Struthio camelus: one gene and its partners. The protein of the gene in region 3 purifies or fractionates together with the protein of the main gene of each other region. This does not show direct contact. Links are inferred from orthologs where the notes say so. Each region holds a gene or a part of one and is shown on either strand. Other genes may lie near its edges. The genes, in order: BSG, RAB7A, VDAC1 and RAB2A.

Region 1 (7,492 bases), on a different chromosome or scaffold from region 3:
TGTTAGCTCTGCTGTGCATGGAGCTTCCCACTCCCAAAAACCACTCAGCTAAGGAATTGAGGTCACGCGAGGGAGGCTGGGTTATAAATACTTTAATCCTTGTTCAGCTCCCTGTTGCTATGGGGAGAGAGGCACGTCGGCACAGCCACACAAAAGGACATGATGCCTCTCCAGCTGCTGGGCCAGTGCCAGCCAGGCCTGACTGTAATCAAAGTGGAAAGCTCACTGCACTGTTACAATAAGGTTGGTATTCCAGTTTCTGCTCAGCTACAGCCTGGAAACAGTTTCCAACTGTAACTTGCAGGCAACTACTCAGCTTGTTCTACAGGGACAGGCTAGACTTTGAAAGTATACTTGAGGTACATACATAAAAGCCAACTGTACAGATAACATTTCTCCTGTTCCACACATGGCCTCTGGGGGAGCAGAGAGCTCATTTCCTTTCCAGAGCCACAGATCCTTAAAGCTCTGGGAAAACATCTCACTGCACTGATGTCAATGCTGCAGAAAGCCAAGTGCTCATGTTCTCCAGACAGCAGGCCAGCCAAGCAGGCAGCCCTAGCCACCTGGCACCTACCTGGTGCTGCTGAATCCAATAGAAACTCACCTAGCCCGGCAGAACATGGGCAGGAAAACTTTAAGTAGCAGTACTTTTCAATTTATTAAGAGGGCATGGTGGCCTATTCACTTTCCCTTCTTCCTCCTTTCTGCCCCCTCCTCCCCAAAAAGGAAATGCTGGGCCTTAGCAAACCTTTATTTTGCTCATGTTCTGAAGTTCCAAAGTTTATATTTTATGCAAGACTGTATGTGACAGTCCTTCGGTTTAGGTTCAACTGATATGAAACATTAGCCGTTTCTGGTAAAATAACTGTCCCTTGCGTACAGACATATTCTTATCTGGCCTTGCCCCCGACACTTACGTGTAACTGGTGAAAGCATTCGATTCCGTGTCCGTTTGAAGTATCTTGTCTCCTCTCATCCACTCATGGCCCTCAATGGAAGCGTAAGGCGTAGTCATGTTACAGGAGAGGACCAGTTTGCCAGAATTGACAGTTACGAGAGTTACGATGTTTGGACCTGCATTTGTAAATTCAGCTGAAGTTAACATGTGCTATTCCAGAGGTTATACACCTCCCCAAGAACCTTTAAGGCAAATATTTCCCAAAAAATACAGCTCCTTGTCTCCACCATAGCTTTCTACTTACCTTCTTAAATCAGATTCCTACCAGGACTGATGATACCAGCACAGGACAGAGTTGAAAGCCCGATGACTAGGGCCTGATGGCACTTAGCAACAATAGGATACTGACCCTACAGCTGCTACCACCACGGTCAGGATCACTGCCATGCACTCAACAGTTTTGAGCCTCCTGCTATCTCTACAATGGGTGCAGTTCATATATTGCAATGGAGCTAAGTGCTCAAATAAGCAATGAAAAAGGTCACACTGAAGGGTTTCATGAACCATTTTAGCACTCGCTGCATGTTAGCACCTTCCAGAATTTGAGCAGATCTGAACATCTCCAGGTAGCATAATTGAGGACAGCAGTCAAGACACTTTCGTCAGGAGCAACAAATATGACAGTATGCAAGCAATATGCACACCACCTGATACAGCTCAAGAATTTATAGCTATATTTATTCCAATGAGAACCTATGTAGCCATGATTCCAAAAGGTCCTAGATCTCCATTATGCAACATAAGATTACTCAGACACTTCTACTTGTAAGAGGTAAGTCCAAGAAAATAGCTGTCATTAGTAGAGCCATTATACAGCCCTGTGACACTTTAGGTTTCCTACCCTCCCACCCATTTGCACTTTTTTGGAAGGAATAATTTTTACACAGGGCTGAAAGGCATTTTGTTTCTCCTCCTACCCAACAAATTCCCCCGGAAGAAAAATCTGCTGGAACTTTGTATTTCCTAGTACATTTAAGCTGAGGAAAATGTTAGTAATTTTGCTCCATTAACTTCAGGATTCACGACAGGATCTTAGCAGGATGTTAAATTCCCTCAAACTAGTTCAGGTTTCTATTATTGGGAAAGAAGCAGCCTCTTAGCTCAAGAGTTCAACTTTCAGCTCTGCAAGTAGAGGGAGTCTGGTCACTTCCACAGTACAAGCAACTTAATCACATTCAGTGTCACACACAGACACGGCCATTTCAAAAATGGTTGCTTCACAAGAAACTAAAAGCAGATTTTGATCCCCACAGCTTGTAACACTAGCAAGAAAGCGAGCTTAAAGCAAGACGTTCACAGGAGCAGAAGCTGTAATGAGCTGTAGGGCAGGGCTGGTTTGTCAGTGGTGGTTAAGGCAGAGTCTACCAGCAGAATCAAAATTCTTAATTCTGCAAGCCGGCACTAGGACACGGAGGCACTTAAGCAGTATGTTCTACTGTCTTGGGCTCTGGAAAAGGTATAGGATTGCTGCATGGTGTTTTGGTTGGGAAGTCACAACCCTTTTTGAGCAGGGCCACTTCGGATCAAGTCACAGGTGGTGAGGGAGATCACAGGAGGGTAGGAGTCTCAGTTCTACAGCCAGGATGGGAAGGTGAAGGGAACTTTCAGGAAGTCACAGGACACAGGTGCAGGGGTGAGCATGGCAAGAGACTCAAGACATCAGTGTCCGAGCAAGTGCCAAGGCCTCAGTATGGCCACTCACGTTCGATGACAAAAACGTTAGCCTGGGAACGGATCCACTTGACTTTGGGGCTCTTCGACAAGTGGTTGCGGTCAGGGTCGTTGCTAGCCCGGCACTCGTACATGCCCGAATCGTCGATTGAGAGGTTTGCGATGTAGATGGTACTGGTAGAGTGCAGGTTGTAGGTGGCGTTGATTTTGACACGGTCCTGCCGTGCACCATCCCAAAGCTGAGCATAGGTCTCATTTGGTTCGCTTCCCTCAAACCACCACTGGATCTCAGGAATAGGATTGCCAATTGCCTCGCAGTACAATTCGACGCTGTCCTGAGTCAGTCTCTTTTGAGACAGCGGTGACTTTACAAAACCAGCTATGAGTTGAAGAGGTATTAGTGCAAAGTGTTAGTGCAAAGCAAGAATTCAACCTCTACAAGGAAAAAATTTCAGCCACTGAGAAGATGGAACATAACTCTTCAGAGTAGCATACTCTCCCAGCTCCCTCCCCTCTACAATCCATAAGCTATCTCCAGCTACACAGTCAACTGCCCCATGCCGTGTCTACAGCCAACAACACTTTTCGCCACTCTGATGCAAAACCAGAGCTTGCAGAACAGCCACACTTACAAACACTAGCTGCATGAGCAGAGAAATACGAGGCAGGAAGAGAAAGAACAATGATAACGTTCCAGATATTCAAGAATTGCATTCAGTGGGCTGTAGCTGCGTCAGTGGAAGTTTGATAACTACTCCAGCCACAGAATTAAGTTTCAAGCTCAAAGTTACCAGCCCTGATCATTGTTACCTCATTACCTTGGTTAAGTTCTGCTCAATGGTCTCTGTCTGGGAATACAGAGAGCCTATTTGCAATACTGATTGAATTCCATTGTGATGTTAGTTATCAGCTACTTAACCAGCAGTCACTGAATTGCATCCTTTCTGTCACAGTCTGCATTACAAACATGATGCTCACACTGGGTCGGACCAAGTATCTCTCTAGCCTAGTACCCAGATTCCAGAGGCGACGAGCTAGACACGCCTGCAATACTTCTTTCACACTCCTCCCTGTCTCCAAGCATTTTCAGCTCAGGATGTAAACTTCAATGGATTTTTGTTCCAACAGCTTATCCAGTCTCTCCTGTCCCCCCAAAATTTTAGTATCTGCTATATTCTGAAAAGGAGGTCCACAGGTCTGCCAAAATCTCTGTTGCATATTGCAGTAAAAGGCTGGCAGCAGCAAGACAGCATCATCTAGTATGCGTTCCACTGTAAAAAGGACACAAAGAAAGCAGCCACACAAGCCTGGTGAACTAGCAATCCTACACTGGCCTCCCTACTCTGACACACTGAAGGTCAGAACATTTTGTGCATACAAACGTTCACACTACAGAGACATAGCTCCCCACTCGCCCGCAGAGAGGGGCATGTCAGTCCCTCCCTGAGCTTTACGCGCCCAAAGTCAGTTGATCTCATTTGAGACCTGGCCAGAGCCTGGCACTCATCCTGTCACTACGTGGTGACTAGATGATGTTGGGCATTGTTACACTTATGGTACCATTTGCCTGCCTCATCTGCCAGCCTTCATTGCACTGCAAGATCTGTTCTCCTTCACGTTCGCACATGCTTGCTTAGTCATCCTGCTCACTAAGATGCAAGTCAGATACTTCTAAATACAATATTCAAGACAGCTGCAATTTCTGAGAGCATCTTGCAGTCTGCAAGATGTCACAAGCCAGGTTAAGAAATCTGTAATATTCGTTGTAATACAAACAACGAAATTATACTTTCTTCATCCCAGGCAAGCTAAATTAATAACACAGATTAAAAAAACATGAGAGACAGCTACAGGCTAAAACTACAGTATTTTTCAAATTGCTCTTGTGCTCAGAGTCCAGAGGGTTCAACTTCTGAAAACAGACAGTTCAAAGGTAAAGCCATAAGTCAGTGCACTGCAGAAAGCAGAGCTGCCAACCATTTTTAGGGCTATTAGCCAGATGCAGCACTATCAACTACGAGCAGCAGCTCCCAGATGTAAGATTGTCCAAATCATTACAAGACAGATGGGAGGAGAAGGCCCAAGCAGGGCTTTCTCCCCCCTCCCCCCGGGGGGGCAGGAAGGAAGTCTCTAGCAACAGCATTTCAGGAAAAGACATCATATTTGCGTCAAGGTTACTTATGTGACTCAATTTCAGCAAGATTTAAGCAGAGCTACTTAACTTTGCAACATGCACTTCCTGTACACTGATTTCAGACTGCACTACTCAGACACCAACAGTAGACCTGCCAAGTATCTACCATACCAAGAGTCATTCCAAGAAGTTAACTTACTCAGTAATAAGTATTAAGAAAGCTCTGATTATATAGATGCCCTCCACACACGTATCATGTCATACAGGCTTAAGAGAGGTGGGTTGGGGGATTTCTTTGTTTTTGAATGCCCAAAGACATTTTAATAAAAAAAATCTTTTTTTGCAAGCGTGGGAATAAATCAGCATTATAAAACCAAGTTTGCTCAAATCCAAGCAAAACAGAGACGTTTGCTAGGTAATTTTCAGAGGCCTACATAAATAATTTCCACTGTTTAAACATTTCTCAAAGGAAAATTTAGCCTTACACTCTGAAGCTTTAGAAGTCTGAAAGAACAGACAGGTTTGGACAAGGGAGGAGAGAGCTGACTCTCACCTGAGACCAAGACAGTTTTAAGAGAAGGCTGATAATTAAAACTGAGATATTTTGAAGCAGAGGTCTGTTTGAGAATAACTCAGTGGCTAAAAAAGAAGTCTGGTGCCATTTCACGTACTAACAACAGTATCAACTGTTACATTCACAAATGCACCATTCAGTAATATATTGGCAGAGGTTTTTAAAGCCTCAAACTGACTCTGTATTACAGAATTTGACTAGATACACTAGAATGATCTTCCTGATTTTTTTTTTTTAAAAAGGTCACTAGGGGTTCTAAAAGAAATATGGAAGTATTAATCGCAACTTCCTCACACACTGAGCTTCACTTCTAGAACATATTAGAAGTTGAATCCTGTTAAGCAGCTAGAAAAAAGTTAAACAGCCCACCAAGGTTAAACTCATACTGGTGTGGGATAAGCTGTGCTGTATTTTGGTGGGTGAGTTTCCTGACAATTTTGCATGCCAGTTTAGTTTTTAAATCACAAGCCTGTGATTTAACCCTCCCAATCACCTAATGTTGAAAGTCACAGAATTGACTACAGTATTTGTAAAAATCAGTCCCATTTTAACTGAAGCCTGATTTAAAGTGGGAGCTGCTAGTGATCAAGGTTTCCTTTACAGATACAAGCTGATTATAGTGCACTGATAAGATATTTCAAAGTTACTTGCTCCAAATTAGAAGGCACTTCATGCACAGCTCAGATAGTAATGTGGATCTGCTGAGCCTCTCTAGGCACCCTTGAATTCAAATGATAAAAATAACAAGTATCATTCCCTTTTCACATGGGATTAATATCCCCTCTCTGCTTTTCCAACACAAAGCAGACTAATCGAAGTCTCGGACGCTCAAGGCTGGGGAAAGCACCTGCTGAGTCCTAGGACATACCAGTACAGCCAGCATCAACCCACTGGAATTGATCAGAGGCATTCAAACGATTTCAAATGGTGTTGGGCTGGAAATTGAAATCAGCTCACAAAAGCCAGGCATTCCTCACAGAACAGAGCCAATCACAGAGCTGAGCAATTCTCCTGGGGACCGGGCAGTATTCGATCAAGCTGGACAGTGGCAAAGACAGACATGACCAGATAACACTCTCTAGAGTCACCTTCAAACTAAAAACAACCTCTCCCCACTGAGCAGAGGGAGGAGCTCTCATGGCACTCGCAGCACCCAACAAGCACAGACAGATCTCAGTGCAGTTAAACCTGGCAGAAACCTGTGTCTTCCTGCAGGGTACACTCATCCATGGCATGACCTTTGTTTCTCAGCGTAGGAAGGGGATATATGAAGCTCTGACACTTATTGCCATTTCCACTAATAGCTATAAAGCCTACTCTCTCTCAAGTTTCATATAACCAGGCAATCACTAAATAACCAAGTCAAAGGCAAGTGCTTTCAGTCAGTTCAGGAAGTCGGAATACTTTGTCCTCTCATGATCTGAGAGCAGAGTCCAAGCATGCACCTACCTACAGACTTGGGCCTCTACAACTTAGGCAATTGTTCTCTGCTGCAAGCTGCAAAGAGTTTTAACAGTGCAGTTTAAAAGGAACATCTCTCAAGAAGTCTGCTCTCTAGATGGAAGTCTAATGTTAAACACAGCTGAGAGGTAAGGAAAATCCTTACAGTCCGCTATTATGTTTACTTCAGCAAAAATAGAGCATTGTTACACACTCGCCAAAAGCAGGACTTCAATGACCAACACAACTCTGTTACCATTAGAGGATCTCAGAACAATAACACCCCTACAAAATAAGGGTGAGCTAAAGCTCAGGTAAGAGACACCCTCAAAAGGCACAGTAAAATAGAGACAAGTCTCTACAACTGCCCAGAGAGAATGCTGGACTTCAAGAGACAGATGACCAATAAGCAGCTACATGATTGGGGGTTTTTGTGTTTTTAAGTTCAGCCATTTTCCAGAAGTAACATTTGGATTAGCAAACCAGTGTGAAGTGATCTAACCTAGTACTCCACCATCCAAAGCATTATAGCCCTACAGACTGTTGCCCTACAGACTGAGACCAAAGGCTTGGCTGGAAATACCAAGCCTAAGAGAATCTACATCACTAGAAGGGCAGGGTACACATATTACAGAACAGATTGGCCTGTGAAGGAACTCTTGCTTCCAAGGCGTTTCAGACCAAGAATAGAAATAACCTTTTCCAGATGTCT
Region 2 (7,863 bases), on a different chromosome or scaffold from region 3:
GTGCACAGCTTGACTTTAAAGCCCAGTTCAGCATTTCAGCACGTTCTCATCTTGACCCTCTTCCACCAAGAGGAAAAGCTTTAAACCCCCTGCTGTACTATAGGGGATCTTAGTACCAGCTGGTCCCTAGAAACCAGAGCTTAAGAGCAGTATATGTGACAGTTGAGAAGCCCAGACGACTGCTTTTTGGGGACACTGGCAGCAGGCGAGACAAGAGAATTCTGTGCCTGGCTATCAAATGCCCAGGCTACTCCAGATACTCAAGAAATTGGTCCATTATAACATGAGGGAGAACTACCAGCACACACCTGTGAGCCCAGAGACCCAGCAACTTGTTTAGGGAATGCAAACATCCAACCATCCTATTCCACAGCCTTTACTCCTAAACCATGGCTTGCCAGGCACCCATCTCAAGATGCAGCACTGGAGGAAAACGCATCCTAATCAAGCGCAAACAATTTTGTTTACAGCCAAATGCTAAGTTCTGCATAAACTAGTCTCATTTTCACAGAGAAGTCAGAATAAAATCCAATACATGTTAGAAGCAAGGCTATTTATAGTTGTGCACAGATGGTTTGATTGCAATTGTCATGTTTCCTCAAGGACAAGCTTTGCCAGAGATTTGCTCTGGCAGGTAGTTCACATGACCTTCTAGCACAGGAGTTTTAAAACAAGAGCTTTAAGATGCTGCAGAAACTGCACCCGGTAGCCCTCTTGTCCCTAAACATCCAGTCTGGGTAGTAAACCAAGCAGAGCAGTATCTTCCCTAGGTGAGTTCTGAAGAGAGCCTACAGCAGAGCCATGATTTCACTTTCAGCTAAGAACTCATCCATGTTGCAACATGCCTATGCTGCTTTGCACAGTTTGAGCCATTGGCTTTGGGGGAGCAGGGACAAGGATGCCTGCAGCGTAGCCACTGCAACACAGCTATTTCAGCTTTTAAGCTTGGCACCTTCGTATTTTACAGTACCATTCCTAGAGGGCCACGGTGAACTATTAGTAGGGCATTTGAGGACTTAGACCACCAAGTGACACCACAGGCAAGAGGCAAGTTTAATATAACTGCTATTTTGGATCTTACTGGTTACATTTAATTCTGCAGGTTAAGAGAACAAGGGACTGCCACAGGTTTTTAAAACAGTTTTCCTTATTGAGGAGGCAGATTAGCCTCATCTTACAGCTTTTCTACACCAGAAGTAGCCTTTTAGCATAACAGCACACAGAAGATAAACGGCAGCACACTTGAAAGTAACAGTATTACAGCTGCTTTGCATGCTAAAGACTCAGGCCAGACATGGTGGGTCTACTCATTAGTTCACTTAGCACGAGTCATGTGTTTAGTCAGCTGTTGGAAGTCACAAGGGGAAAGAGACAAGTATACTTGTTCTTCCTAAAGTAGTACAGCAACGAGGCCCTGGTTATTTAAACAGGGAATAGTCAAATGACTCCACCCACTTTCACCTCAAATACTGCTACTAAGAAAACAGGCTACATTTGCTCAGGTAGCCTGGCCCTGGAGGAAGCATGGCCCAACTGCAGTTTCCATCAGGCACTACTAGTATCATCGCAGCTTGTAAACATAAAATAGCTGCGAGTAAGCCTTCAAGTCAGAGCCAACCAAGTACTGTAGCACAACTGGTTAGGTACCATTCTCCCCCAGAAAGAGAGCTCTTCACTCCCCAACCTCAATTTCTACTTGCTACAGTAATACTAGATGCAGAGTACTAGGCAAAAAACAGAGTTGGCTGGCCAAGGACAAGTATGGGAAGCCCTAAAGCTTCCAACTTAGTAATTGCCAAGTAGAGCTCAGCTTGCTTACAGTTGGGAGGACTTGGTTCTGCTATGTGCTCTCAGTTTATATATAAAAATCCTACACAAACATATTACAACAGCTCTACTTGTCAGCTAGTATTTTTATTTTTGAAGAAGGCAATATTAAGGAGTCTAGATGCAACTCAAAGGATTAAGTTATTCAGTAAGACTCATGCATTTAGACACTGAGGTCACCTCTCTTTAGGTTAAGAGGGCCTTTTTATAGCTACTCTACTATTAAAAAGAATTCCTCTACTTACAGGAGACAGGACAGTTGTCCTAAGTACTATTATTAGATATTTCCATATTTATTAGCCTATATGGACCTGCAGATTTGTAACTTATCACTTACTTCACTACACACTCACAGCCAAAAAGCACTTTTGACACCTAGTCTAATACTTCTTAAAAACTGACTCAGGCTTTACACAAACACACGGAGCTACTTTCGCAATAAACTGCCAGTCTTTTCAGCTGCCTGTTCCATCACGTTAACTGCTCCGGGGGCAAGCTGCTCACCCCTAAAAACGCTACCCACCGACCACCCCGGGCAGCGCTTGCCCCAAGACCAGCGCCGACGACACCTTTCGGCCCCAGCCCTCGTCACGTTTCGAGGGGAAGCACCAGCGGAGCCGCACACCGCCAGCGACGCGCTCGCCTCCCTGCCAGCCACCGCCGGCAGCCGCCTGAGACTTCTCCTGAGGGGAGGCTCCATTGTTCGGCGAAAGGCGGCTGGGCCCGGCCCGGCCCGCGGCGGCTTTGTCCTCCCGAGCGGCACGGCGTCGCAGGCCGCCCCAAGCCCGTCGAGGGGAAAGGGGGAGAAGAGGAGGGGGGGGGGGGAGCGGCGAGGCCGCGCCCGGGGCCCGGCGGCGGGGCAGGGCCCGGCGCCCGCGGGAGGGGCCCCGCGCGGCCCCCGGCACCGGGGCGGAGCCGCCGCCGCCGCCACCCCCCCCCCCAACAACAACCAGGCCCCAGGGAGACGGTGCGCGGGGAACCCCCGGCCCCGCTCGCGGCCGGACTCACCGTGCTGCGTGTGGCCGCGGCGCCCGCCCGAGACTCGCTGCCTCCCCCCACTGCTCGCCTCAGCTCGGCTTTAATGGGACCCAACCGCCTCCCCGCTTTCACTTCCGCCTCCCCCCGACAACTTCCGGTCACGGGGGCCCGCCCGGCGCGCGTGACGTCAGCGCGCCGCCGCGGGGCCAACGGGAAGGGGGAAGGGGCGGTGGCGCCGGCGCCGGCGCGTCACGTGACGGCGGGCCGGCCGCCATGTTGGGGCGCCGAAGCCTCCGTGTGCGGCTGGCTGCGTGACGGCTCCCGCCAAATGGCGTCAGCGGGGGGGGGGGGGGGCTGCAGCATGTCATGGGAGGAGAGCAGGTTGCCCAGAGGTTGTGGAGGCTCCATCCTTGGAGATAACTGGGCACCCAATTGGACGTGGCCCTGGGCGAGCTGCTCCGGGCAGTCTGGCGTGAGCAGGGCGCTCGGACCAGGTGTCTCCAGAGGTCCCTGCCGGGCCCAGCTGCTCTGGGATCCGGAGTGAGATAGTAGCAACAGCACAGGAAAAAAAAAAACAAAAAAAAACCCTGTAAATTAAAATATGGCAATTTAAGACACATTCAGGTTGATTAATCAAGCAACAACCAGTGCCAAGATCAGCAACGAAGGCAGATGCAATGGGACTACGTAAACTAACTCTCTAGCACCTCGCTGTAGAAAAGAAGCATCATCCTGGTGGTACAAGCGCGCTCTGTGTTTCCTACTCGGCGTTTTGGCCGCGAGCGTGTTGTATTATTCAGCGCTTACTTGAATATTCTGTTGTGTTCATCCACGTCACATGATTATTGTAGCTGTAGTTGGCCCATAAGCTTGGGAACGCAAAGACTAAAGCAACCAAGGAAAAAAGTATTTTTAGAGCTCGTTGAAGAGGCAAAAGTAATGAAGCCACTTATAGCTTCATTAAAAAAGGAAATTGCTTCTGAACAGTATACACCAGGCAGGACTTTTAGCTTGGTAACAGAGTGCTTTTTCTTTCCTCTTTGGTCTTTATTTTGTCCTGAGACAATCTGCCACGTAACGTTAGGCAAATTGCTTGCCTTCTCTGCATTGGTAACACAATTTGCCCGTGCGTAACCTGGAAACAGTAATGCTTACCCCAGAAAGACGCTGCAAGGTTTGATTCATTAATGCTTGCAAAGCGGTTTGAGATCAACAGAATTATGATCGCAGAGCACAGCAAATGTACTATTAAAATCCTTATAATCTGTTGGGCCTGGTTTGAATCCCTTCACTATCCATCACAGAGAACACGGGGCATGCTATTTACAGTGTCCTACTTTAGAACTAAAGTCCGACAGCAGTGGCGTAGGGGACTGAGCCCGATTTGGAGTCTCTGTTGTCAAGGGAAGCCTCCACACTGACTGCTGTGAAAACCACCTCGGCTCCAAAGGACAGCCCAGCCCAAATTCAAGTACACACGTTCACGCTCTCCCTTCCTTATGCCAGCGCCGGCTCTCGTCTGACCCTGCGCTGAGTCACTTCAGCATTAAATCTGCAGACAACTAACACGAAAAGGAGCACAAGATAATTTCTCTGCCAGCTTAGTGCACTGAACTGGCTTCATGCAGGCTGCAGCTGAAGCAAGGGAAGGCGTGGGTGAGGCAGGACACCGTCATTGCTCCTTAGACTGGTTTAGGTTGTGGTGGAAATGCAGACTAACAGAAGGCAAGTGGGAGCCAGGGCTGCTGGGTTCTCCTCCTGTGATGCTGGCAAGTTTATTACTGCTTTCTAATTTCTATATTTGCAGGACTGTGGCACTCTCCTCACAAGACAGGGGAGCCCATGACATCTACTTTGTTAATGCTTTTAAGGTGCTCCATTAAATGCAGAGAGCTGCAAAAGAACCTGTTATCAATTAAAACAAGGACCTAACAAAAGAGGAAAAGCCTTGCTTGGTGAAATGATGGAGAAAACCCTCGCAAAGATGCATGTCTTCTTTAGATGAGAAGGAAAATATCCTCTCAGCTCAGCCCCAGGACTGCAGGCCCTGGACACGTGGACATGCCAACAGCAGGTGGGGCAGAGCACTTGGTTGCCCCGGTCTGCATAGTTCCCTTAGCAGGAGACCCCCCACATGCTGGGCTGTTAGGAGCAGACATTAATGGTGAGTTACAGTGTTCCTCTGCTCTCTTTCCTGAAAGCTTCCTTTTTCCTTTCTTTTTACATGATATGAAAGCCAATCAAAAACCATGGGTGAAAGTTCTTCCTTCTTCTCTACCACCGAGCGATCCTGGCACCAGTGTAGCGTAAAACCTACATCTATTACATATTTTTATTATCCTGAGAATAACCTCACACCAAGCTCCTGTGTCACTTGCTAGCATGATCAACAGCGGTGTCATGGACTAATTGCTCATGATGAGTTTCTGATCCTCTCTGGAAATGCTGCATGTCCTCAGACTGACGAGGCAAGATCCTGCCTGCCTGGAAGTACATATGAATCCTGGCGCTCAGGAGGACCGATGTCAGCAGAGAGGTCCTTGCTATCCATGTAGGTCTCCCGTCTTTTGGCACAGCTCACACTGACGTTCACAGTGGCAGAATGAAAGGGAAAAGACAATGGTAAGAAAGTGGTAAACGGATGTACTGAGTGGAGGCTGTTGTGTTTCTGCCTGGCCATACGGACATACACATGCACACCTTCCCACCAGAAGGAACCCAGGGCCTGGAAGAAACCGGAACGCTGTGCACTGAGCAGCCCAGCCCAGCTGGACAGCACAGCTTAGCGTCAGTAGCCTGCGAAGAAAACAGCGTTTCTCATCTGACCCCTTCATAATAGCAAAACCCAATGAAACCTCTTAAAAATGGATCAGTTTGAAACTCAATGCCAGTTGTTCCCAATCACTAACATCACTCTGAAGAAATTAGTTCTCTCGCTCTGAGGGACACGAGTGAGTGGGTCCCTGATTTTATAGCGATCAGTCTTCAGACATTTACCAGTGTAGCAACCTCAACATACTTCACGCACCCATCCCTCTAAACCAGGAAGTAAGAATATCTCCAGCTTTGATCTTGTTCTCTTTGTGACAAATCATCTCTATTTACCAATCTTTCTGATCCAATTAGAAACAATAAAACATGATATGCCTTATACCATCTCTTCCCTTGTCCTTTGACCGAAATGGGCCCTCCCTTTCTAGTCCCTAAAAAGACACTGTGAATAGAAATAGCATGGACACAAGAACACCCGCTGGTTGCTAATGGGAGGGCTTGCAGAGAGGTCTACGCAGAAAACCTGCACGGAAGCTTAGCTGTAGTAGCTGCAAACCGTAGACATTAGCTGTGAACATGTGACTTTCCCAAAAGTGCCTGCATTCATAATGCGCTCACCACCTTCCCATGGACACACAGCCACTCCACCTCTGGCCATCTGTGACATTAAAAGCTTGGAGTGAGCCCTGCTCATTCCTCTGATACTTATTCAGCAGGCCTTCCCCCTCCTCGTTGGACACATCCCCAGGATCTTTCCTTGCCTGTGGAGCCTGGGAAATTGAGCACCAGCCCATCGTGACAATAACTGCTCAGTGAAAACTGTCTGTCCTGTGATCCTTGCTGTGCTCTCGCAACTAGCTTTGCAATGCTTTCCTCTACCACCTCTGCCTTTCCAGACCAGCTTCCTCAAATTATCATTATAATGATTTAACTTACTGAAATAAAAAAGAGGAACTAAGATGCAGCAAACATACAATATCTTGCTTTTGTATTCCAAGCTTTGTCACTCTTTGATTTACTCTTGTCTAAAGCAGGTTCACTCTGCCTCTGCTGGCATTTTGTACATTAAAAATCTTCTGCTATTGCATGACCACCTGTGCATTTCCACTGGCAAGAGTCTTTTGCCTGCCCTCGTCTCTAATTCCTGCTTGCAGTACAAATACCACTCCATTAATCTACTAATGCTTTCACCTTTGCAATCCTCAGTTGATTTCTAAGTGTTACAGCAGCAGCAATACATGAAAATAAAAAGCTGGCTCTGGACAAGACTTGATCACCAGACACCAACCATAGGAAGCAATTGTAATCCCTTTAGCTCATGGCAGGTCTCTGATCCATGCTTCTGCTGATGGGTAGAGAACAGGGCACAGATTGCAAGGGATTACTAGCCTCTATACTCATTGATAAAATACATTGCTGGAAATACATCTCAAAACCAAACCACTGATAAAGTGTATAAACACAGACATTGAAGTCTGAGATCCATGAGGCTTGGGGGCTTACCTGCAGTGTTGCAAAGCCTGACTCTGAGACGTCCCGTCATACCAGACACAGGAGGCGCGGGCACTGAAAGGAAAGGGTTTAGGACTCCAAGAGGTTTCAGAGCTTTCCCCTGCTTAATAACAAGAGTCACAAAAACACTGCAGAGTTTTGATCCCTTTGTTACGAGGAGGAGATAATACCGGCACCTTCCCTTTGATGACCAGCTCGCCCCCTGAGACATGAGGGTCCAAGTGCCTCCCTTGGTCTGCCCTTGAATCATGGCCACCTACATGGAGGGATTCTGGTCACAGGACAATATGTTGAGCGGAGGGGACTTCCCTTTAGACAAGTGCTGGTAAGACAGGCCACAGAAACAAACATATCTTGCTGGGGAACGGTGCCAGATGGCCACCGCATGGCTTTGTGCTTATCCATTTGGCATCACTGTAGTTACCTGGAACCTGCATTGGTGGAAGCCAAAGCCCTTAGAAAATTCAGATGTCGCAAGGCAAAGGGGTGCTTTGATGGTCAGGATTTTGGACTCGGGGCAGAGATGTGCCTCAATCCTATTTATGACTCTCATCCCAAGAGGCTGTCACACAAAAGTGTGACCATCACACCTGAGTCCCCGGCAGGACTCCCAGCCAGCTTCCCTGGCACCAGAAGTTCTCCGACAACAGCAACAGCTTCCCACTTTTACAGCTGGTGCTAAATACCAGATAATTAATTTTTACAACTGCGTTGGAGGTATGCCGGATAATTTCATATGATTGTTCTCAGTACGCAAGTGGAGAAGATGATCCA
Region 3 (7,139 bases):
TGGGTGAGGGCGGGACCGCAGGGAATTCGCGGCGCCCCTGTGGGGCTCTGGCGAGCGAACGCCTCTTAAAACAGGAATAGCCGTTGCCTTATGTAACGCGCGGCCCGCTCTTACGAAATTGTGGCCTCTCTCTGAGGCGTGGGGTGAGGGCGACATGTGAGGCGGGCTGGGTTTGGGGGCGCTGGAGCGAGGCGGTGGCACGTGAGAACGGCGGCGGTTGTGCTGCGCTCTTCCCGGGCAGCCGCCTCCTTAGCGCCGTCCTGTTCGCTTTGCCGGAGCAGGCCGCGCGCGAATCAGCGCGGCCGCTGGCTCCGTCACGGAGATTTAAAGGTCATTTGGCACCGGGGGTGCGTTCAGGTTTCTCAGTAACCCTCCTTTCCAGAAGGAGATATAATTTCTCGTATCCACAGGCAGCAAAGATGGTGTGTGGCAGCGCTTGGGAAGCCGGCCTGATTAAGCGCTGTTTCAGCGCTGACATCCCTTCCACCTTACTCGCTCACCCCTGGAATCTTAATGAGTTCCAGCAGGTTGGCAAGTTCATCCTGAGATGCACCAAAAACCCCAGCCCCACCCCAAGCAGCCTGTGATTTTTCTTTTTTACCGTTGTGTTTATGCTCAAAATTTATTTTTATGTTGGGGGGAAAAAATGTCAGTTTAAAAAAAATCTCAGGGGCTGAATTTTCCCCTGCCGTGAAACAAGGAGAGAGCACCATGCAGCAGGAGCAGCAGTAAAATTGCTTCCATTCTGCTTCATCACAGTCCTCCCTTGGAAGAACTCCTGCTGGAGGGCGATCAAGTCATTCAGTCTTTGGCTGCTTGTAAAAGGTAGTAATAAAAAATTCTGAAAGTGAAGCAGAGCTGACTCATTCTATTGACCTATAGCACGGTTGTGTCTCCAGGGAATGCTTATACTGAGCCAGCTGAAACAGATTCTATCTTATTTTCAGTTTGAGTAGTGAGGATCAAAAGTGTTCTGCAGTTCATTCTGCTTAGTGCACTGGACAGATGAATAGTGATCTATCCTCTGGAATTTCATCTGTGAAAGCCTGTCAAATTCAACAGTCAGCGCTGTTCTGCACTGTTGAAAAGATACCTTAAAATAACTGCTCCCCCAAACACTTTACGTTATGGATCAAGTATACCACCTTCCATCTTCTGCACCCTCTCTGCTACCTACCTGCAGGGAGTGCGTGTCGGAGGGTGACTCAGCGCGTAGGATGCTGCCGTCTGTTGCCATAGCAGCAGGCGCGGTCCCCGCTCTGTGACTTTCCTGGGGGATGCAGTCAGCAGAACGCTGAGAGTGAGGAGGCAAATCTCAGACGCACATGTGCTTTGACACTGCAGCAAAGAAAAACCATAAACCAGCTCCTTAGCAGAAGTTTCAGCGTAGCGGATGCTCCTTTTCTGTGGAAAGGGAGCAAGCAGTCAAAACGTGCTGGAAGACAAAATGCTGTTTTAATTCGTGATCCTCATTGATTTGATCTTGGGCGTTACCGTGAGTGGAAAATGGCCTGGAATGCGAGACATGCACCTCCTCGAGTGCTCTGCTGGTGTGTGAGTGTGACTCTTGTACCTTGCATGGTGCTCGTGAGACAAGGGAGTTATTGTCCCAATATTAATTGCCCTTATTCTGGCTCTAGCCTTGCTGTGAGTGACGAGAGCACCGTTCATTTCTTTGTGGTCGTATATTTGAAAGAAGCAGATAGTTAACCTGAATTTTTAATTCAGCTCATAGTGTGATTCTTTGTTCGTCCCTTACAGTTTTAGTAACTGTAGTAGCAAATTATATCCCCCAACTTTTGTTTTATTGAACTATCATATATAAATAACAATTAATGGTTTCAATGCAGTGAAGTTGTTCTTAATTTATACTCATGAAATTAAGAACAGACTCTTTCTTTAATTCCATAAGTATTAATTTGGACTAAAGCACAGTATTTACATTTACTTTAAGGCGGTTGTAGCCTAATAAGCTGTGAAGTATAGAGGAGATAAAATGTATCACATAAATAAATCTTTTAAGAACTAAACATGCTACATCATTTAACTAGTTTGAAAGCAAAGCTGTAGTAGGAAGGCTATGATCCTAACAATTGTCGTAACCATCAGTGGGACGTTGCATGGATTTACTAATGCATCTGCATGAAAGAAATTGCAGACTCCAGAGTCTTAAATTTTGAGTCATAATGGTGCACGGGTTATATGACTTTGCCACAGTAACAGGTTAGGGCAAAAAATGTTAAGTATTCTGGTCCATAAAGCAAAGTATTTACAAACTGTGTGCTTATACTAGCTTTTGAAAAGACTTGTGAATGTGATTAACGTGGTGTTTGACCTCAGTGGAGACTCCTCATGTATTTACAGTTAAGCACGTGTTTAAGTTTCTGCAGAATCAGGCGTCTGAGTCTGATTCAAAGCAGTTGGTGACTCGGACCAGTCTGTCATGGAATCTGAAAGGAGTGCAGCTTTTGTGTGTCGTATTCTGGATGAGTGCAAAAGCGCTGTATATTTTATTTATTGATACAAAATCTGTTGGTTTGGAAATGGCATTGCATAGGCCAGGAATCCGGGAAGGCATTTAAAAGTTACTTCATACCAAAGAATAATTCTTCTTTTAAAAAAGGAGATAAATAGGAAGTAACAAGATTTTTTGGATCTTGAGGCAGAAGGCCCTCGTCAAATTTCCTAGGAAAAATTGGACTAGAGTGAGGTCCAACTGAGACCCGATTGTCTTCATGGGAGTTTGACCCTTGATGTATTTCATTCTTATCTTTAATTTTTAAATAGGTCCTTCCCCGCATGTAAATATCATAAAGTTGATCAGTCTGTGTTGGGAAACTTTAACTTAGTCATGAAAAAGAGCGATCAAGCAAAAATTTGAATTTGAAGGATGAAGTCTCTTGTCACATCCATATAAATGCGGATCAGTGGGACAGCTAGTTTTTGTCTCGCCCCAGATGAGCTGGTGCCTGAAAGGAAGGCATGAGAAACCGAGTGCATGTGAGCTTGCGTGTGACTAGCGGCAGGCAAGTTTCAGCGCCAGTTCAAGGCGCAGGTTCGTGGCAGCACAGGAAGGGAAAGGGCACCGTGGTTTTCCCTGTGGTTGCAGCCAGTTCTTACATTTGCAAAGGACACCTCAGTGCTCTGCTGCCTATTAGACTAATTCTGAGTTAATATCCCAAAATTGTATTGTGGAGTAAAGACTTTGACATCTGTCTTGAAAATACTTAGAGTCAAATTCAGCCCTGCTGGAACTGCCTTGTATTCAATGCAGTTTTCTTCACTGGGGCTGGTTCTTGTGTCCTACAGCTCCAAAGAAAACTCCATGTTTTCTCCCTTTTACAGTTACAAATCAAGCGTTCATTTGGGTGGTGCTCATAACAACCACTTTGAGCTAAGTCCTTAGTTCAGGTTTTCTGAAAGTTGTTTTGCAGTATTTCAGTCATGATATGCACTACAGTACTTCCTACTCCTTCAGAACAAAATATTTTCCTTCCTGGAACGTGGGTATATGTTCTCCTTGGTCTGCTTTGTGCAGGAGTTGAGGTTATGTAGTCACTCTGAGATATTTGCGCTATTGGACAAGGATAAAATCAATGAAATCATTTCGCTCCTAATCTGAATTTATGTCCTGGGATTCCACCAGTGAAAAGCAAGGGCACTTGGCCATGTGGCTGTTCCTTGATCCTTTAAGAATTTGAATCCCTGTTAAGCATGCTTGTCTTCCAACCTGTGGTTGCACAGAATGTAATGAGTTTTGTTTTCCATCTGTTAAACAAGAGGCTTCTGAACATAGATTAGCTAGTGCAAACAGAAATAATTATTTTTGTTCCTTGATGGCAACAACAGTAAGGTTAACCACCACATACATATTTCATAGAGTGTTTTCCACGCTCAGCAATTTTAAATGCCTTGTTCCGTGTGCATTACATGATTTGCCTTACAAATAGCCTTACAATGGACATGGATTTAGCTGTCAATATGCTTCCTTAATTATAGTAATTGCAGAAGTGGAGATCTAGACATATCCCACTGTCCTATAACCACAGCCTAGACTGCTACAGTAGAGCAGCATGTCACAGCTGATTCATCTTACAAGCATGGTTGCCTCTCCCTGCTGATAGCCCGCTGCTAAGTAACGCCTTATGGCTGAGCACTGGGGACGGACTGCATTCTGCTGCACTTTGTACATCCGGACTCTGTGGATCAGTGGAGATATGCAAATATTGGTGAGAGCCTAATTTGGCTTTATGGGCTTTGATAAAGGAAAATTAGTCAGCCCCCTACCTCAAAAAAACCCAGCAGAACCCAAACCAAAAACATACAGTATTCAGTTTTCCAGAAAATACATTGATTTTTAAGAAGTAACTCAAAGTAACTGTTGATGAACTCAAAATACATCTGGTAGATTCTGAAATGCAGCCGATAGAAGGATGCATTATCTTTCAAAGCGATACTTATTTGCTTTTTTGATGTAAGGGTTTTTAACACTTTTATTTATTGATGATGCTAAGTGGAAATACCCATCAGAGCATTCTAATGAGACTGCGCTGCCCTGACTGGAAAGAAGCATTTCCTGAATACATACAGCCCCTGGTGGATCATCTCAAGATGTTCTGGGCTCTCTGTCCTCTCTTGAGTGCTCCCTTAGCTCTAACCCTAAGTTGGTATGATCTCCAACAGTGGCATTGTACTTTGTTTTTAGTGACCCTAATAAAAAGCAGAGGAATTACTTAGAAATAAATCTGTTAATGGTTTTTTTTTCTTCTTTTAAAGCCTATTTTTTTGTTTCCAGAACCCCATATATGACCAACTCTTAAAATGGTTTCTCCTGTAGAGAGTGATGCTTATAAACTTTACGTTCTGGCTTTCATGTTGGCACAAAACCAGAGACATTTAGGTCTTATATAAGCAGCTGAAACGGCTTTGGAATATGGAATACGTTGTGTTTTTATTTAACTACTTAACGGCTTAGGTATTTGGGGCTGCAACTTACTAATGAAATATAACTGGAAAAAATTACAGGACTCTGATGCCTCCGAGTACAGTCTCAGCAACTGAAGCTACATCATAGTATGCACCCTTGAATCCTACTTATATTTGTGTTCTAAGACGACTGTTTGCTTTGAGCCAACAGATCTGTTTTGCACCCTCTAGGATAGGGATTCTTCACTTATGCAATAGCGGGTATCGTGCTTTAACAGGCAACAGCTTCTTGAATGGAGTTGCCTGAGGCGTTAAGTGACTGCTGAAACTCCCTATCTGATAAACGTGGGGTGGTGTGCTTGAATGAAGAACTGAATCCAAGTCTACAGCCAGAGTAGATACTCTGAATACTGTGAGCACTCCCTCATGTTTGCAGACAGCTGGTTTGTTTGTGATTTAAAAGAATAGTTTTCTGCTAACGTTGAATAGTCTGGAATCAGGATTAGTAGGCAATTCTCAACAAAACATTTTCACTCGTATGTAATAAGCTTATTATTAATGCTCCATAACCAAAAAGTGTTTGCGAATGTAGAATTTTAGTGCAAAATCTGGTATTAAGAGAACCAGCTTTATGAGGATGATTTCTCCTTTGCTTTTTTATGAAATCTTGAACATGAAGAAAGAAGGTGTACACCACTTCGGATGGTTTGAATATGACTGGTTCCATAGAACAAATTACTGTACTTCAATAAGGAAGTAATTCGGTTTGTTTGTTCTTTCCTCTCAGGCTCATACTCTCCTCTGTATGCAATGAGAGTCTTGGTGGCTGAGAAAATGGGATGTGTTCTCCTTTCTTGCAGGAGGCCATTGAATTAAGAATGGTCAGAACCTGCTGAACGCGTGAATCTGAGGGCCTAAATAAGAGCGCAACATGAAGTTTGAGGAGGCTGCCCCTACTGGGCTCCAGTGTCTTTACCCTTGTGCTGAGACCTCGTTCCAGGTCTTGCACAGAGCTCTAATCTAGGTTTGATTGCTGAACAGGGGCAGCACCTACCCTCCTGACTAGCTGATTTCTAGATACTCACAACGTGGCATCCTTTCAGTCCTAATTTTTCTCAGTAAGCTCAGTTTTTCCCCTAGTTGATGAACAGGAAAAAAAAAAAAATCACTGACTAAGGAGAAATCTTAATGCATTAACAGCTGTACCAAAGTCAAAGAAAATTGAATGGTAGATGAAGAATGACTATTTGTTGCTTTTGCTAACGTGTTATCCAATTGCTGCTGTGAAGTAGGGGGAGATAGGTGTTACTGATGCTAGATGACTGTCCTGGGATTTCCAAAATTAAAGTTGGGTGACTTGGGGTCCAAATTCTTTGCAACAGGATACACAGATTAATTGCAAGTAACAGGAGAAATGCTTGCCAGAAATAGTTAACTAATCATTCATGCAGGTCTCCTGTTAAGGAAGCAAAAAATTAACTGTTTTGAAAGGCAGAAGAAGTTTCTTCTTTTTTATATTTATTCTGCAACCTGTTTCTCATCCTCAGTGGCAAATGCTTGTTAATCATTAACGCTGGCTAATGAAGGAAATCAAATCTCACTTTTCGCTATAGCTACTTTTTTCATATTATATTAAATTGATAGGTGGTGGATAGAAACCAGGCTGCCTGAAACTTAGGAATTTGGCTTAAGTTGCCGGTTGCTGAACTGGCTTCAGTAAACAAGTTTCCAAACACTGTAATTTCCCTCTCTGTCCTTTTTTGTTTTTGTTTTTCCTCCCCAGAAAATGGCTGTTCCACCAGCTTATGCTGATTTGGGAAAATCTGCCAGAGATGTTTTCACCAAGGGATACGGTAAATATAAATAAATTTGGTCTTTTACTGTTTACCTGATTCCTGAAACTGACTTGTTATGATTTTACTGCTTTTCTCTGACAAAAATTGCAATAATTTTTATTAGAGTTCAGAGAATTTTATATCACAGCTTCACATTGTCCTTACTGCCTGGAAAGGGAGGGTAACTTATTTTTCCTCTGACAAAATTCTTCATTTTACCCACAGGTCTGTTGTCCATTTTGAAGTGTGCTATATTTTGACTATTCCCTTGTATCATGAACAGGACCACTGATGTCAGTAGTTTGCTTATGAACAAAATGCTATTCAGTATGAGTAAAAACATTATTACCTAATTTGATCCTAGTGATATTGCTGGAC
Region 4 (7,978 bases), on a different chromosome or scaffold from region 3:
TCAGTTTCTGTAGCTATCACTTTAAGAGACTGAGATCATACTGAATTCCTGCGTTGAAGTGCATGAAAGCATTTGGAATCACAATTCAGAATACACACGCAGGTGTCTTGTATAACTGTACACTTTTTTTGTTGTTTTGTTTATTGCTTGCATAACCCACTTTGTTTTGTAGTGCTGAAAAAGGAAGATGAGCTAAATATCAACATCTGTCCTGGGTTGATGCTGTCTTACTTTTCATCTAGAGTTTGTTTACAACTAATTGCTGAGTCACCAAGCAGTTGATCCACTTCCAAAGACTCTAAATCAAGTCCCAAAGACAAATTTCTTGATCACTATGGAAATTACAGGGCATGCAAGGCCACCGGCATATCTTCACTGCTTGCAGTGCTGTGGTAGACCACCACTGGGACAGAACAGGCGAGTCCCCATACAGTCCATTAATTTCCATCAGTACAGCTACGAATGCATCTGCCTTCGGCAGAGGAACAGCAACACCTAAACCATCACAGTCATTCTGGCAGCAAACTGTACACAACATAAATTGTCTCTTTGATACTAGCTATATTAGAATACTTAAAAGGCTCATAGGAGATCTAAATAAAAGCAAAACCAACTTTCCACTATTGGCGAATCTATTGCACTTTACCAGCGATGGTGGCACTAGTTTTAATTAGCTTCCTATAACAACTTTGAATAAAAGCTACAGAAGTTTTTCACTTTTGGTAAATTTGTGAGCTGTTTTCTGCTCAGTGTGTTTCTTCTAGATCTTACAATTCCCATATTTGGTTAAGAAGCAGAAACAACTTCAGAAGTGACATACATCCAATTCTGTATTTCACATTTCAAGTAACTGAAGTAATCTTCAATTATGGTGCAGAAGGGTCAGCAGAAACCACTGCCCAGAGGATATTTCATTTAAAAAATTAATCTGCATATCATCAATGTACCAAAGCAACTGTTTGCTGCCCTCTCTACCACTCTGATGATTACAGTTTTTAAAATGCACCAGAATACAAGGCCAACTGTTCTGAAGCGCTATGACCCTGAATTTTGTACTACCATTTTGCATCATTCTGGGCAGAAAAACCTCCTTTTACTTCCCTTGACTCTACTGACATAATCTCCTGTCCTCTACCGTGGCTTATGAACTGTCAGTCACGTAAACACTCAAGAACAATCTGTAGTCTTCTTTATCATCTATGGCCTATTAAATACTTCAAGCTGGTCATTATAACCATGATATATTTCTTACTATTTATTTGTACTACAGTTTTTAAAAAAAGGCTGAAGAGCTTAAATGTTAAAAAATTTTAAAAAAACAACAAAAAATACACAGTAGTTGCAATCCAGGCTATTTAACAACCACATGCGTAATGCAACTATAGTGTATAATTACAGTACCACAAACTCCAGCAACAGATAAACTGGTTCATCATAATGAAGTGTAACTACGCAGGTATCCCTAGAATAGCATGTAGAGACAACCGTGTCACCAAATTTATTACAGAGGGTATTTATTCGGGTATGAAGAAGACAATGAGAAAGATGCACAATGCACAAGCACAATAGCTACCTATGTTATTTACCTTGTCCTGCCAAAAGTGTGATAGAAAGAATGCCATCTATATCCATACTAGGCTAAGGAAGCATAGAATATGTTGGCAAAAGTGCATCAAACAGCAATTCCTATCAGCATAGGGTTATGCCTGCAGCATTCTTAAGCAATGTTATTTGCAACATGGCAGTCAATGACAAATAGAAGAGAGCAAGTTTTTAAAAATGGACAAGAAAATAGGTGAGCGGGAGGAAGAGACCGCAGATGCAACTTGCAGCATCTGGGAAAGCAGTTAGTCAAAAAATGGCTGCTGTGAAGTAGAAGGAAAGAACTAGGCCTTTAAATTTCCCTTTGACAGCATATCCTGACACTTAAACAGCTTGCTATTGCACCTCCAGCCCGGGCTGGAAACGGCACCCTTGCAGCCCAGTCTGAAGGTACCTTCAACGGCACTGGTCTTTGCCTCACCACAAAATTCCTAGGAAGCCAGCAGCACCTCTTAGGCCTCAGGGCTGCAGAGAGGTAAATATGGGGCCGCTGCCTAGCCGCGAGTTTTACAATGACAGCAGCCCCCATCCCACCCCAATCTCCGCCCCTGCCTTTCACGCTCAGACGCCGCAGCCCGGTGTATGACACACCCCGGCCTGCCCCACGGCCCGTCCCCGGGCCCCGAGGCGGCTGTCAAGGGACCCCGAGGTCTGCGGCCGCGGCCTGGTGCGGGGCGCAAGGCGGCCGAGAGGCAGGCCGAGGCCACGGGCGGGGCCCAGCGCAGAGGCGGAGGAGCCGCCTCCTCGCGCACAACCACCACGTCGACGGAGCCAACACTGCGGAAATGGGAGCGGGGAGCCGGGCCCGGCTTGCCCGCCCGCCCCGGGCCCGCCGCCCCCGCCGCTCACCTGTGTCCCCGATGATGATATATTTGAAGAGATACGCGTAGGCCATGGCCGCCCGGTGCCCGCCTCTCCGGCTCTCGCTGGCTCCTTCGTGACGCGCGCGCGCTCTCCCCCCGCCCCCGCTGTCAGGGCTCGCGCTGCGGAGAGTTCCAAACGGTTAACGGCCGCCGGGCGGGGGCACACGCTCCGCGGCCGCCGCGCCCTCCCTCCTACCTGCGCCCGCCGCCTCCCTCCCGCCCCTGCGCGGCGCCGCGCGCGCGCGCCCGCTCGCTCCCGCGCCTCTGCCCTCTCTCTCTCTCTCTCTCTCCCCCTCCCTCCTTCCGCGCCCCAAAGCGGCCGGAGGAGGCAGGCGGCAGCGGCGGGAAGAGCGGGCGGCGAGAACAATAACAGGCGCCTCAGCGGCCCCCCAGCCCCTCCGGCAACGTCACGCACCAACCTCCTCGCTCGGCCCCACCCCCGACCCGGAAGTGCTGAGGTAGCCGTTGCCCGGCGCGGCGGCGCGTGCGCGCACGTGCGTGCGCGCGGCCGCCGCCGCCGCCTCCTTCCCTCCCGCGAGCCGGAGGGGGCGGGGCTCCGCCGCCCCGCCCCGCCCCGCGGCCCCGCCCCGCGGCTCCGGCGGCGGGAGGGAGGGAGGGAGGGAGGCGGCGGGCGGGGGAGCGGGGCTGCTGGGCCGTGCCCTCGGCCGTGCCCTGCCCGGGGGTGGGGAGAGGCTGCCTTCTCTCTCCGGTGCGGGTTGCTGTTTTCCTTGGCGTTGAGGGAAGGGCTGCGTGACCAAAACACGCCTTCCCGGGAGAGCGGCTTGTTGTGAAGAGGGCCGTCGTGGCCCCAGGCGGGCTCCCTGGTGATTCCTCTGCTAGAGGACTCTTGCCAGGGAAAAGAAAGCCGGCCTGCAGGAAGAGAAGCCGCACAGGAGCCCGTCTGAGCCAAGGCCTTGCTCGAAGGCCTCGAGCGTCCCGCTGTAGCTCTCGGTTTGCATCCCTGCCAGGTGATGCTGAAGTACTGGAAGGGGCGATAGCGCTTTGTGGACCAAACCCAGCGTTGGTGGGGTTTTGGGTGGGGGCGTCCCAGCGCTTGGGGTGTTTCTGGCCCAGAGCTTCCAGAAAAGGCTTGGCCTAAGCAGTAAGCAGGAAGTTATCCTGCGTTCACAGCTGTTGTTGAGGACTTCTTGAAGCTCACAGGGAACTGGTGAGTTGGAAGAAACTGAGTTATTACTTAGTCTGAACATGTGCCCTAAGAGCGCAGCACACCTAGACCTTTGGCTCTTCAGCAGTCAAAGGCGCTTTGGCTCACGGGTCGTGCCGAGGTGACGGCTCCATACGGAGGGGAAGGCTGTTTGGCTCTCCAGGAGGATGCTAAGGCGGATGATACCTGCGGTTCAGCTGTTAGTTTACTGTGCGTTGGTGGAACTGCTGAAGAGACGTTGGCATTTTCTTCGTGTGAACTCAGAGGGCCACCTTTCTGGCCGTACCAGTCTGGCAGCTTTTAACTGTATGACGATTTGTGTATGTGGCACTTCAGGTCAGGAAGTTGGACAACATTGATTTACACCATTTCTAACAGGTGTGCGTCTAACCTGCTCTGAAGAACCTTCAATTCAAGCTGATTGTGCAGTACACCAAATCTGGTTTTCATATTTCATGAACTTTCTAAATATTTTCCTGAAATCCAAAATTAAGCTTATTTTGTTATTACCTTTTCTTCTGTGAACACAGCAGACAAATGATTGCCATGAAAGGAAAGGCAGTCCTTTACATATTATGAAAGTTTTATCTACATTGCTTTTCCACATGAAAAATTAATGTTTTCAACCTTCCTTCATCCATCATTTGTTTGCTCCTTTTTTTTCTCTCATCTGTACCTCTCCCACTTTCTCAACATTATTTGTAAAGTGGGGAGTCAAAACAGGAGTTCTCATGTGTCCGTGACACCAGCCTCATTACCCTAAAATGACATCACGTGAGTATCTCCAGCACTGGATGAACTACAGTCTTGCTCCGTGCTGAATGTGATTTTGCTTTTTTTGCAACAGCGTCTCAAGAAGTTTGCTTTTCGTCCTAGATCCCTATCCTGTCATGACGTTATTTAGCCAGTTACTACCCAAATGTCTCTATACATTTGATATCTACTTACTAAGCATTGCATTTCCTTTTACTAAATCTAGCTGTTTTGATCACGTCCGCTCAGTTCGTCAAGAATATTTGAATTTTTTTGTCATTCCATCCCAGCCATTCCGTTACCCAGGTTACTCATGAAAATATTGAATAGGTCCTGGACAGGACAGAGCTCTGGAAAGCCACATGTGACATGTTCTTTTAGTTTAAAAACCCTTTATAATTGATTTTTTAGCCTTATGTGTACTTCATAGTGATTTCTTCTGTTGCATTTTACTTAGTTTGTTTTTAAGAAAGTGATGCAGAAGAGTATCAAAAGCCTTCCTGAAGTCCAGTTGTGTCACACTCACTTCTTCCTTTTTGCCGTGTAGCTTGTCAGAGAAGGACAACCAAATTGGGTTGGTTTGATCATTGGCTATTCTTGAGAAATCCATCCTGTCTCTTTATCACTTATTTTTTACAACCTGTTGAACTTTGTTCATTAAAGCTTTTTTCCTTTTTTTTTTTTTTTGATGAAGCTGATCATATTGCATAACTTAGTTTTCCTCAGTCAGTAAGTTATATTTGAGCAAACCAGATTGGAAACTGCGCGTGTGACTCTAAGGCATTTATCTTGGAAATCCGGGCACTTTGTCTCCACCTGAAGACATGAACTGAACAAAACTGTGTGGAAAAACTTCTTCAGCTTCTTTTGGAAGACTTGACTTTCCCCATGGGGAAAAAAAACCCCACTTCCCCATTATTTTACTTATTAGAAGTGATTGTTCTAGCAGAATTTTTCATTAACTAACAATTCCTATGTAGGATGAGTTTTCTTAGAAGAACAGGCTTTTTTGCCTCATCTGTGAAAACTAGGCTTCTGTTTTTACATAGCTGTGCATACAGGATCTGCCTCTGTCCTCCCTATCCCAATATATTTTCATAAAAATTGTCATCTGTATGGAGAAGAGTACCTAAAGGAAAATCTGTAGATGAGGTCAGTTATTAAATAAGTTCATATTGAAATGAGTCTTCTTAAGTGCTGCATCTGTAGGTAAGAACTTTATGCTACCTTTGGTTTGGTGCCCATCAACCGTGGGGCACAAAGCTACAGGGAGCCAGGCATCCTTAGGCTGCTAAGTTGACCAGATTTTATCCAGCATAAGTTGAGATTGCTGCCAACATAGATCGTGCAGCTCTGCCCCCACTAACCTGCTCTTATTTCCTGCCTCGTTCTGGCACTGTTTGTGTCATCTGTGGATCAGGGAACTGCCGTGGCTAAACTTTACATTTTTCTGTGTTATCATTCGGCCAAATGAGTTCCCTGCCCCATCTTATCCCACAGCCACATGAACTATAATGCTCCTGCCAGCTTGCTCAGATGGTTCCTGCCTCTACCCAGCCAGTCCTCACACCACAGAGAAGGTCCTGTGGTTGTGATAGCTAAAGCCCAGTCTGGAACGCCAGTCACACAGCCAGGTGTTGACTCACAGCATGAGCCCTCTCCTACGGAGCCTCTCTCTCCAAACTGGCAGGATTAAGGAGAACCACATGGACTTCTGTGTCCTTCACCATTGCCTCCACAGTCCTGTACTCACTCGTGTGATACGTTCCAGGTCTCCGGTGGTAGTAGTCGGGATTCCTGCGTGCTTGAGCCACACAGGGCATTAGTCTCTGAGGGCTGGACAAGCCCTGCCAATCTCTCCACAGCAATCTCTCTCCCAATGTAATAAGTTTCAAGTGTGTTTGCTTCACTGATGGGATTTGGTTTCTTAATTTTCTGGGAAGAGTTCTGTGGTCTTCTAGGCCACAAGTTTGACACAAGCAAAACTATCTAGAATAATTCTGATCAGAAAACGGAATTTCCATTTTGTAAAATTTCAGGTTACTGATGGGGAGAAAATACAGGTATTACAGAAGTCCAGTGAAATGGAAGGATCTCTTTAACACTACTGCTTAACAGCTTCCTAATTTGATTGACACCCTTCTATTCAGAGGGAAGTCACCCTTACCTACTTCGGCACCCTGGTGACTCAGAGAGGTAGCCAGCTTGCCTGCAGCATATAGTGGGGCAGCGGCCACTTGGCTGGCTTGCTGGCTGCTTGGCTAGTCAGAAAGTCAGCTATGATTTTGGTCAGCACTGCACAGTGAACAGATAGCCAAACCACTTCTGCTTATCCGCTCAACCTGGTGTGCTTTAAATGTTTTACGTGCGCACATTTATGCAGTATTTCAGTTACTTGGGATCCTACTGCTTGGACAGTATTTGGCAGAGGTTTGCAAGGATAACAAACACAAATTTGTTGCTTACGCTACCCCATAGTAAATACAAGCTAATTTGCTGCTGGATAAGATGACTGTATGCCTAAGTTATTCCATTCTATCAGCAGTTCCACAAATTGCAGATGCCTCCAAGTGGAGTTTAATGCAAAACTGATTTTCCTGCAAGTTGTATTTAACATTTGTTTAAATGCTATTAAGAGGCTTGTAAGTAAATAGGCATTGTGTTTGCTTAATTTTTACCTCTCATCTGTACAAATTTCTGTTATCCAGACAAATGAATATTTTACTTTTTAAGCATTAAAACATTAAGTGTTAATAGAAGGCTACCATGGACTGATTCTGAATTATTAAAAAAATTATTAGTCAATAGATATAACAGAAGCAGTAGTTATTCGATACTGAAACACAGGGTTTGCAGAGGGTTACTTTGATTATTTTAATGTTATTTTCGGTAATACGTGTTATCTATCAGTGATTTTATATAACAAGCTCTTTAGAAATATGATAATATATTTGTCTTAGATGATAGGATTAGGATTATATTGTGGCAAATTTAGTACACTTGAGAAAACTAGAGTTTGCTCTTTGTTCTATATCATAAGTTTGAGGTTTATAGCAAGCCTTAAAGTTTGCAAGATCCTTATTACTAGTAGTACTCTTTGAGAAAGAGCCATGGAGGCATTCCAAGCTCCAGTTACTCTGCAGAGCAAACCGTTAGAGAAAAATTTTGTGTGGGAACTGAAACACAAAAGCAGAACCCTAGCATGACACTTGAACAGAACCACACTTTAATTATAATTTGCATTGTACTACTGTTTAACTGTCAGAAGTCAGTTGCTAACCTGTTATTCAATTTAGCCTAAATTTTTAAAGCGTTTCTTTGCGCTATTAGCTTATTTATACAGATGTGGAGTAGAAACTATTATTTGCTTGTATCTAGCACTTACTCAGTCTGCACTTTTTCTGAATGTTAATTTTATGCCACGCTATGTTATTTGTGAATTTTATTTAACAATTTTTTAGAAGATTAGGTTTGTATTTTACATAAGTAAGGGGGCAATATATAGTTTATTTTATTTTATTTTTATAAATGTCAAGAATCAGACCATGCCTCATGAGTATATACAGAGCAGATCCTGCAGGAAGACATTCAAGTG

Evidence for each region.
Region 1: the proteins of VDAC1 (region 3) and BSG purify together in Homo sapiens (affinity purification with mass spectrometry; 3 studies listed by BioGRID, with this or other methods). This does not show direct contact. The link is inferred for Struthio camelus from reciprocal best matches to the Homo sapiens genes VDAC1 and BSG.
Region 2: the proteins of VDAC1 (region 3) and RAB7A purify together in Homo sapiens (affinity purification with mass spectrometry; 3 studies listed by BioGRID and IntAct, with this or other methods). This does not show direct contact. The link is inferred for Struthio camelus from reciprocal best matches to the Homo sapiens genes VDAC1 and RAB7A.
Region 4: the proteins of VDAC1 (region 3) and RAB2A purify together in Homo sapiens (affinity purification with mass spectrometry; 3 studies listed by BioGRID and IntAct, with this or other methods). This does not show direct contact. The link is inferred for Struthio camelus from reciprocal best matches to the Homo sapiens genes VDAC1 and RAB2A.

What each region holds. Positions count from the first base shown.
Region 1 is NC_090967.1:7,635,588-7,643,079, forward strand, and holds the start of BSG (basigin), read right to left. Parts: upstream 3,006-7,492; 5' UTR 2,767-3,005; coding exon 2,664-2,766; intron 1,078-2,663; coding exon 921-1,077; intron 1-920.
Region 2 is NC_090955.1:6,976,555-6,984,417, forward strand, and holds the start of RAB7A (ras-related protein Rab-7a), read right to left. Parts: upstream 3,014-7,863; 5' UTR 2,836-3,013; intron 1-2,835.
Region 3 is NC_090954.1:3,701,513-3,708,651, reverse strand, and holds the start of VDAC1 (non-selective voltage-gated ion channel VDAC1), read left to right. Parts: upstream 1-4,130; 5' UTR 4,131-4,145; coding exon 4,146-4,229; intron 4,230-6,709; coding exon 6,710-6,779; intron 6,780-7,139. UniProt on the Homo sapiens protein: Non-selective voltage-gated ion channel that mediates the transport of anions and cations through the mitochondrion outer membrane and plasma membrane.
Region 4 is NC_090943.1:135,022,994-135,030,971, forward strand, and holds the start of RAB2A (ras-related protein Rab-2A), read right to left. Parts: upstream 3,010-7,978; 5' UTR 2,881-3,009; intron 2,586-2,880; 5' UTR 2,498-2,585; coding exon 2,452-2,497; intron 1-2,451.